Rattus norvegicus: one gene and its partner. The protein of the gene in region 1 binds, or shares a complex with, the protein of each later gene. Links are inferred from orthologs where the notes say so. Each region holds a gene or a part of one and is shown in the gene's direction. Other genes may lie near its edges.

Evidence for each region.
Region 2: the proteins of Nrip1 (region 1) and Esrrg are in contact, whole or in part, in a crystal structure (PDB 2GPP), measured with the Homo sapiens proteins. The link is inferred for Rattus norvegicus from reciprocal best matches to the Homo sapiens genes NRIP1 and ESRRG. Residues at the interface, in NP_001426204.1 of Homo sapiens: Ser378, Leu379, Leu380, Leu381, Leu383, Leu384, Lys385, Ser386, Gln387; in NP_001429.2 of Homo sapiens: Val277, Ile280, Lys284, Phe289, Leu294, Gln297, Met298, Leu301, Gln302, Lys448, Leu449, Glu452, Met453.

Annotation. Positions count from the first base shown.
Region 1 is NC_086029.1:28,463,576-28,468,059, reverse strand, and holds the start of Nrip1 (nuclear receptor-interacting protein 1), read left to right. Parts: upstream 1-1,647; 5' UTR 1,648-1,825; intron 1,826-4,484. UniProt on the Homo sapiens protein: Modulates transcriptional activation by steroid receptors such as NR3C1, NR3C2 and ESR1. Also modulates transcriptional repression by nuclear hormone receptors.
Region 2 is NC_086031.1:102,094,467-102,098,825, forward strand, and holds the start of Esrrg (estrogen-related receptor gamma), read left to right. Parts: upstream 1-1,558; 5' UTR 1,559-1,729; coding exon 1,730-1,785; intron 1,786-4,359. UniProt on the Homo sapiens protein: Orphan receptor that acts as a transcription activator in the absence of bound ligand. Binds specifically to an estrogen response element and activates reporter genes controlled by estrogen response elements.

The DNA of each region.
Region 1 (4,484 bases):
CAAAAATACTTCTAGCATGCGCTCAGGACTGAGCTAGGGTATAGCTTTATGAAGAATTAATTTGAAAAATTGCCTTTACTTTAAAGATTGGGAACATACTCCAGACCCTGCTCATTTGAAAAATCGGAAAAATAGCTATAGAGCTATTATATAACAGTAAAGAACACAGTGGGGTCCCTTGGATAATTTTTGGTTTCGGTGTACATCAATAACTGCTTCCGAAGGCTACCGAAATTCCTAAGAATATGAAAACGTGTGTATGAGAGTAGACAGCTTCATCCACAAAATTGTCTTAGTCAGTAAGTATTTTAACACAGGCATAGCACTTCAGAGTTTAGGGTGAACCAAAGATGTACTTTAGAGTGGTTTTTTTGTTTTTTTTGTTTTTGTTTTTGTTTTTTTTTATGTCAAGCGAAAACAACTTCTGCAAATGATTCTTTTCATGGCAAGATGCTAGAGTCAAAAACAAACGTGACATCTGGGGTAGGGGGAGCGTTAAAAGGAGGCTTCACAAGTAACATATGAAGGGAGTAGAGAGAATAGGATTTTAAAGCAGAAAACACAAGGAGAGGAAGAGATCACGGTTTCGTCTTTTTCTCTCCTCCCTCCACTTTCTAGCCTCACCAATCTGTTAGCCCCCCTCAAATTCAGAGGCGGGTTCAGCAAGACCAGGCTGCAGGAAACCCAGGTTTCGCTGCACTGCCACCCTGGCTCCGTGATGTAATTGTTATTTATTGAGACTCTGAACCCAGCAGAGCTGCTTAAAGAAGTGCCAGCCCATCTTCTAGTCCTGTTGGGTCAGATCCTTCCTGGGGGTGGTGCAGATTGGCGGGCAGACCCTACTGGAGACTTCGCAGTGACAAAGCAGCAGAAGATAAACCAGGTTCCTGGGTCCTGCGTCCGTCTAGGGAGCTGAGCTGTGCACTCCTCAGGTCTCCTTCCCAGTTTTCCGCTTGCAATCATGCCATATTTATTACTGGGTCCTACTAGGTGCTGAGGATGGGGTCAAAATGACCTAGAGTTATAGCGCCGTGGCTTCCGGAATTTAAGCGGGACACAGATTTCAAGGAGGTGGAAAATTGAGGGTGGGTAAAGGGCTCCAAGAGAACGCGTATTTGTGGGTTGAAACGGGAGAAAGGGAGACATTTAAGGTGCCAGCCCTTAGGTGGGGAACCTGGGGTAGGGTTAAGGCGCCCCGACTCCCCTTTGGTGCCCCCAGCGTTTGCCCCCGCAAGGGTGACATGGGCTATCGCCTGGCCCCTAGCGGGGAATCTGTCCAGGCGGCTGGCTGGACGCGGCTGGGAAGCCAGGGCGCCGGCTCGGGGAGCAAAGCACCCCCCTTCTCCGGTTCAACCGCGTCCTCCCTCTGCCTTCAAGGCCGCTCAGACCCGGACCCCCACCCGGAGCACCGGCGAGAAGGCCTGCAGACGCCGGGTGGGCTCCCGGGCTCCGGCAAGCCGCCGGGTGCGCGCTCCGCCCGGGTGACAATGGGAGGGAGGGGCAGAAAAGGGTTAAGAAACTTGGCTGAAGAGCTGAATGGCGTGGAGCAGCGAGGGGAGGGACCCGGCCGCCGCGAAGTCGGCGGCGGAGGGAGGAGCGCGGCTGCGGCGGGCGGGCGGCGAGCGAGGCGCTCAAAGTCAGCCTCGCAGACATTGCAGCAGAGCCCCGAACTCGGGAGGCGACGGCGACCGCGGCGCAGGCGGAGGACGAGCCGGCCCCAGCCCGCCGGTGCGCAGCGCCCGTGGCCTCGCGCGGCCGCAGGGCACGGCTAACCTGGGAAGGAGGGAGCGACGCGGATCGGCGGCCCGGAGCCGCGGCGGCCTCGGTGAGTGGCGATCGCGGCCCGGGCTCCGTGCGGAGCTCGCTGAGCGGACGCCGAGCCGCCCGGGCACGGCCTGGGTGCGCGGCCCGTGGAGGCGGCGGAGGCCGGGGGAGGCCCGCGGGGGGCTCCAGGGACACGGATCCCGGGGACAGCGCGCCGCCGCGCCCCTCTCCGGCTCTCCCCGGGAACTCGCGGGCCCGGCCGGCGCAGCCGCCAAGTTGTGGAGTTCCCAGCCGCGGGCTCGTCCGTGCCAGCCTTGGCGCGAGGGGCGCAGCCGCCCTGGGTGTAATGCGCCGGGACCCACGCGGGTGGCCGGATCGCGGGGCCCGGGTCGAGCTCGCCCGCCCGCCCGGCTGCCCCCGTTGGCCCCGAGCCCCGGGCGCTGGCTGCAGCCCCGCTCGGTCCTGCCGCCCAGCGGTGCTCGCGGTGGCGCCCGCGCAGCTCCCCGCCTATCGCCGGTTTCTCCCTTGCGCGGTGCTCGCCGATTCCCGGCCGGGAAAAGTGACTCGGAGAAGGGACAGCGCTGAGCCCCAGGCCCGGCCTGCTGGGCACGAGCTCCCCGCCTGCCGAGGAGGGCGAGGCCCCTTGCACCCGAGGCCTCAGCCCAGTTCCCCCAGCATCCGAGAGGGGTTCACTCGGGTGAGCCTGGTGAAGTCCTGAGAGACTGCTCTTCTCTCTGGTGCCACTGTCCTCCTTACTACTATTGTTGCTAGAAGAAACCCTCTTCCGCGGAAACATTCCCCTAGACCCTCCCATCCTTCCCAAAGTAGTTTCCAAATTTTAATCAGGAGTTGATATTCAGACGGAAGGAACAAAGGAATCCACTGTGTTTAAAAGGCGGACAGGCAGTGAGTCTGACACATGTTGATCTCTGAGGCATTCCACGAGTTTCTACCTTCCATCATGTCAGAAATTTAATTGGATTCTGGCGGTCGCAAACGAAGTATGAAACGTTAGGTAATTTTACGTTAAAATACTTTACTTTTTTAAATTAATGGATCATTTTAGTTAGAGGGAAGTCCGGACATTGTTAGGTGCAAGAACTTTTAACTCTTTTTTTTTTGATGGCACCAGGCTGGAGTTTGTCTGCTCTTGTAACTGATTGTGACACTGAGCGAAAACAGTGTTTTTAGAGAAAGAGAGACAGTCTAAAAGTAAAACAAGATTGGAGTGTCTGTGTGTCTGTCTGTCTGTGTGTATGCTTAAACGATGTGTAGTCTATCTCTTGGGTTTTGTAAAGCAGGGACTTCGGTAATTCATTCTTTAGAGTTATGAATTACATTGAACCCGCTTATTAGTGAATCATGGGTTTAGCAAGTGGGCGGCATCTTCCAGATGCAATTATCCAGTGTTTAATCATCAGGTTGCCACCTTTGTCTAAGAGACGGAGTCGACTTTTTAAGCAAACGGTGGGTGCTTCACATGCATGGCCCCTAAGAGTGGCTGCAGCCTGGGAAAATGTTGAAATCTTCCCCTTCCAAGTGAGTTGCCCTGGTTTGGCCCAGCAGTTTGTCCATAGGGTTTAATTGATCCAACAGGAACTTTCTGTGTAGGACTTAGTAGAGACAAAGGAGAGTCAGTCATGCCGCAGGCAATACCTGCAAACTGGAGCCTCACCCCAGCCTGTTCTATACTGTACTGGGAAGACTCCACACTTAAAGTACAAGGAGCGAGAAGAAAATATCCTTAAAAAGTATACTTCAAAACTCTAAGGAGGGCTTCGGTTGCTGCTTATATACAGGTAGTTGAAAACCAGCTTTCATGCCTACGAGAAGACTTAGAAATCTGAGTTTCCAAACTTTGCAGAACTTGGATTTTTGTAATTGAGATACCTGAAAATAATTGTGGGTTAGCAATGGAGAAATGTTTGTGGATGAGGCCAGGGCTCCTCTGACTCCTCCAGTTTTAAGAGCAAAACGTTGTGATTAAAAAAATAACCTATACCACCACCTAGAGTCTGTTTGTTAGTTTATTGCTCTTGGAGTTTGCTTACATTGACGTGTCCCTCGTGGTTACTGTATAGTCAAAACAAGATTAAGGAATTCAGGCTTTTCAGAGGCCATCCAGGAGAACACTTATTTAAGTAATGCATAGCAAGTGCCAATTTAAATTATCCACGACACTTTCAGAACCGAAAATTATGACATATCAACTCAAGTGGGCCAGTCTCCGAAAGATACTAATTCAAAAGAAAAAAAATTTAAAGACAGCTTCTTTTAGCTTGTGCTCCAAGGTGGCCCTGAGTGCAAAAAGATTTCCTGTGATACGAGAGATTCAAGAAATGTGACAAAATAAGTGTTCTCGGTGCCTTTTGAGGTTTTTTTTTGGGGGGGGGAGGGCGACAAAAGCGATGACAAAAGTATAGAGAGAGGGATGTTGCCATTACCAACATTTTAAACACTGAGAAGGTTAGAGAGACGGTAGACCGTCTTGGAAGCTGGGATAAGGTGTTTGGGAATACAGTCAGTGAAACAGTGATAACCTGTCCTACTGGAGGTTTGTGAGTGGCAAAGCAGTCTGTTAAACAGGAGGCCTGAGGGCGGCAGCCTCTACCCTTCTGCTTATCACATTGTCCGAGGAGGAAGTAACGCTCCTCCTCTAACCGTCTAGCCTGAAAGATGGCCTCCAAGATCTTTAATTAAATATCAGTCGAACAGAGAGA
Region 2 (4,359 bases), on another chromosome or scaffold:
TCAGATGCAGGAGGTTGGTAAGCAAGACAACTGAATTCTGTCAAAAGCCTAGGTCTTCCACTCCCCAGAAGGTAGCAGATAACAGCTAGAAATAGTTGCTATCTCTTTCAAATATGCATTTGGTTATATATATATATATATACATATATATACATATATATTTCTATAGTTTAAAATAGAACACAAAGATATTCTTATTATATGAGAATTAGAGGCAGCCCATACACTACTGTAAGAGGAAAAACATTGTTCTCTCTTACATTGTCTTTTATACTTTTGACTGAGTGGCCATAATTTTTGTACATTATTATCTGTCTGAAGCTGCTTCTTGTAGGCCAAGCTGTGGGGCAACATGCAAATATGATGAGTTAATTTTTTAAAATAAGCCAGGTGTGCTGTGTGTAGGAGCTCATAACCCGTGCTTTACCTCAATGCTAAATATTTGGATAAAATCACATCTACATATAATTTTATTTACATTCACATATAGATACGAATATAAATATCCACATAGATGAATATGTCTCCTGTACTGAAATAAGTACATGCTTCATCCTTTCGGCACACTGTTTCATGTTCTTGCCACAAAAACCAACCGTATATTGATTTTGTGCAAAGTACACTGATATTTAAGGTTCTTGTTGCCGCTCCCTGTCCCCGCCCTCGGTCAGTCTTCTCCTCAAACCTGGAAAGTGAAGTAGGCAGTGCAGCCTGAATTTGTTACCTTTGTTTTGAAAGGCTGTGTGCCTCATATGTCAGAGAGAGAGAGAGAGAGAGAGAGAGAGAGAGAGAGAGAGAGAGAGAGAGAGAGAGAGAGAGAGAATATTACCCACAGAATTTGCACAGGCCCTCTCTCCAACTGTATCGGTGCACTCTTTTCTTCTGTACTTCCGTGATGCTACCTTCCACCCCAGAGGGCTCGGCCAGTCAGTTCTTTTAGGCTGAAACCATGTCGAAGAAAGTCTTATTTTATTTTAAATGTTCTTTAGGTTAGGACACAACAAGGAAAGGTATTAGCAGAAGCCAAGGAGACAGCAGAACACACGCAGCAATAATAAGAATAGTAAGAGTAAGTAAAAAGCAGCCGTCCCCGGTGGAGAACTCAACACACAGAGTAAGGCCAGATAAACTTCCTTCCCCACCTTCCACAGCAGAGTCCTTCGGTCAAATTTATCGAATTGGCCTGAGTTCTTTGCAAAAACAAAATAGGTCTGGGGTTAGAAAACCAACCATAAATCTCTTCAGCGTAGAGTGAGTTAAGTTAGTTACGCTTGATATTTTCCCCTTTCTTTCTTTTTCATTTTTTTTTAAAGGTTCTCGGGGGTGGGGGTAGGAGTTAAAAGAATAATAAGGGGGAAGCTGCGGATCGCTGAGGCTTTTGCAGCCGGCTGCAGCTTTGCCCACCGTGCTCCGGGCAGGCGTTTGCCCTGCCTACCTGCAGGCTGCGGCTCGGGCGGCTCGCGTCGCCTCCCTCCTGATTGGGCAGCGGCCCCCCAATCAGAGGCGCTCCTGGGCCGGTGGGACTGCATATGTAAAGCCCTACTTCATATTAATAAGCTCCAATCGGGGCTTTAAGTCCTTGATTAGGAGAGAGTGTGCGAGCCTCGGTCCCAACTGGCCGTGCCTATGGGCTTGTCACCAGGAGAACGCGTGTGTTAATTGCACCGGGCTCTGTCAAGGAAACTTTGATTTATAGGTGGGGTACACAAATAATGGTTGCCGGGCGCACATGGATTCGGTAGAACTTTGCCTGCCTGAATCTTTTTCCCTGCACTACGAAGAAGAGTAGGTACCTTTTTTTTTCCTTTCCTTTGCAACTCGGCGTGGGGGTGCGTGTGTTCGGGAGAGTGGACCGGGCAGCGTGTGTGCACACGGATCAGCGTAGTGACCTGGGTGTTCGGTGCGTGTGGGTGCTTGATGGTGTCTGTCTGGTGCCTTTTGTGTGCAGGGTGATCTCCTAATTCAGTAAGTGGAGAATTGTTCTCCGACTCCAGTGTTACCTTTGAGGCAGCCCTGTGACTGTCACTAAAACAGCTGGGTGACAGTCACTTCTCTTTCAGGTGCTAAGAATAGGCGCTGGGCACCAATGCTCAGTGAACTGTTAAAATGCATCTTTTACCCAGATCCATTTTCCCTAGGAAAGATGTTTTAAAATACAATATTCAAAATGATTTATACTACTGAGTGCCTCTTATGTATTTGCAGTTTGACAGATATTTGAAACTCCCTGTCACCCTTTACCGTGCTGAGTTAGAGGCAAAATTGTACATTTATTAATTCTCCTTCAGAGAACAATTTAGCAACTAGCCCTGTGCTGCTCAGAGCCAGCGTAATGGTATTTGTGTGGTTAGCATTAACTCAGTACTTAACTGGCAAATCAGTCCATTAAGTAACATGAGATTTTCACACATTATAAATATTTAAAGGGGAGAAAACTGAAGACGAAACAGTAGAGACTTTAAAAAATAATCTTCCCTTAAATAGACAATGTGCAGGTCCTGAGTTTGGTTGATCATGTTCATATATATATATATATATATATATACATACATATATATGTATAATTAAACCCAGTTCGCTGATATTTATGGATGACTTCTTGGATATTCTACATATTTAGCTCATTAAAGGTCCAGAGCAGAACTAGGGAAAGCAAATTGGGCTTTTTTTGTGTAAATGAGGAGATCATAAACTTAACTTCAACCCACTGTTAAGATAAAATATCCATGGACCACGGAAGCTGTCACTGGTCTCTTTTGCTTTCCTGTTGAGTCAGTTAAATGGCTTTCACATTACAGTAATAGCAACTGCTATAATTTTTAAAAGAGCGCTCTTGGCAAACCCTTCTCCTGATAGACTGTGAAGAAAGCACAGAACTCTGAGCTGGGCCAGTGTGTTGGTGGTAAGAGTCCACTAGCTGTCCTCAGCAACTGCCCTTTGCATCGTAATCAAGGGAGGGACACGAGAAGCCGCTTGTAGTCTCCGGCTGCCTGTGTGTGTTTGAGTGTGCGTGTGAGTGAGTGTACGGTACGCACACGCTCTCACAGGAAGAGACTAAGATCGGAAACACTGAGAGGCTGTCTTTGCATCCGTTCGAAACACTTGAGGGAGAGCCAGCCTTAAAATGCTCAAGAAAAAAAATGAAACACAAACAAAGGTAAGACTGCCCAGTCGAGCACAGTGCACCTGGGATGGGAGAATTATAAATGTTCTCATGTCTATGAGAAAGCCTCAAGCTCACCCAGAGTCTGAACTTTGTCTCCCAAATAAACAAACAAAGCAAACTTTAAATATCCCTCCGAAGGCTTCATGGAAAAAGGAGTTTCCTTGAATTTAACTTCTTATACCTAATTTGAATAATTAGTTTAGATAAGCCTCTTAGAACAGATGTATTTAAATGAAACCAGGGCACATGCCCTTTGGCTTTGGCGCAAGATTCAAACTAGCTTTTCTCTTTCTTTCTTTCTTTCTTTCTTTCTTTCTTTCTTTCTTTCTTTCTTCCTTTTTGGCTCAATTAAAAGTCATCTTTTAAAAATCCAGATTTATTATGTGGGTGCAGTTGTGGTGGTTACGTGGTTCACTGGACAGACCGAAAGACCCAGGGCTGAGCAATGAATGCATCTGCCTCTCTGTCTCAATTAATAAACCGCAGAATTTATACATGCTATTAATATTCATAGTAATTGTGCCGGTTTCAACCCCATCACGTGTGTATACACAGAAATGAAACCTGAGTTATGCAATTTCCAAGGAAAATATTGGACCATCTCTGCTTAGGAGACTGTTAAAAAGATTCATGCAATTTATTGACCACCATTAAGAGAGCTTAAAATGTTAACCTCTAACTATGTAAGTACATACATTTTTTTTTAATTTTAGGAAAGGCGCCAGCACTTACAAGAGCACAATGCTGTAACGCTTGTTTCCCACTGAATAGCAGTAATAGCTGATAACATAAATAGACGGAAATAATGTATCTGCTGGTTTTGACACATGTGTCTGTGTAATCATTCTAAATGAGTGCGCTCCTCTCACGAATCCCTTTCAACCTCTGATTAAAATGTAACATTGACTACAGGATTATAGAGCGGACTTAATTTTACTGACTGTTTTAACAGTTGTCACAGCTGTTGGAAGAAGGCAATTGAAACACTCCAGAACGGGCAGGGAGAGGAGGTGGCAGTCTAGGAAATATCAGCTTTGATCACTGAAATCCAGACAGTGAACATTGAACAGTTTCTTGTTTGAAGGATCCCTGCACAGAGCTATGTGCATTTTATTGTGTATGCGTCCCTCTGTCTGTTTTAGGGTGTTGATTTTTATTTTCCTCTCTGATTCGTGCATTCTTAGGAAGAGCTA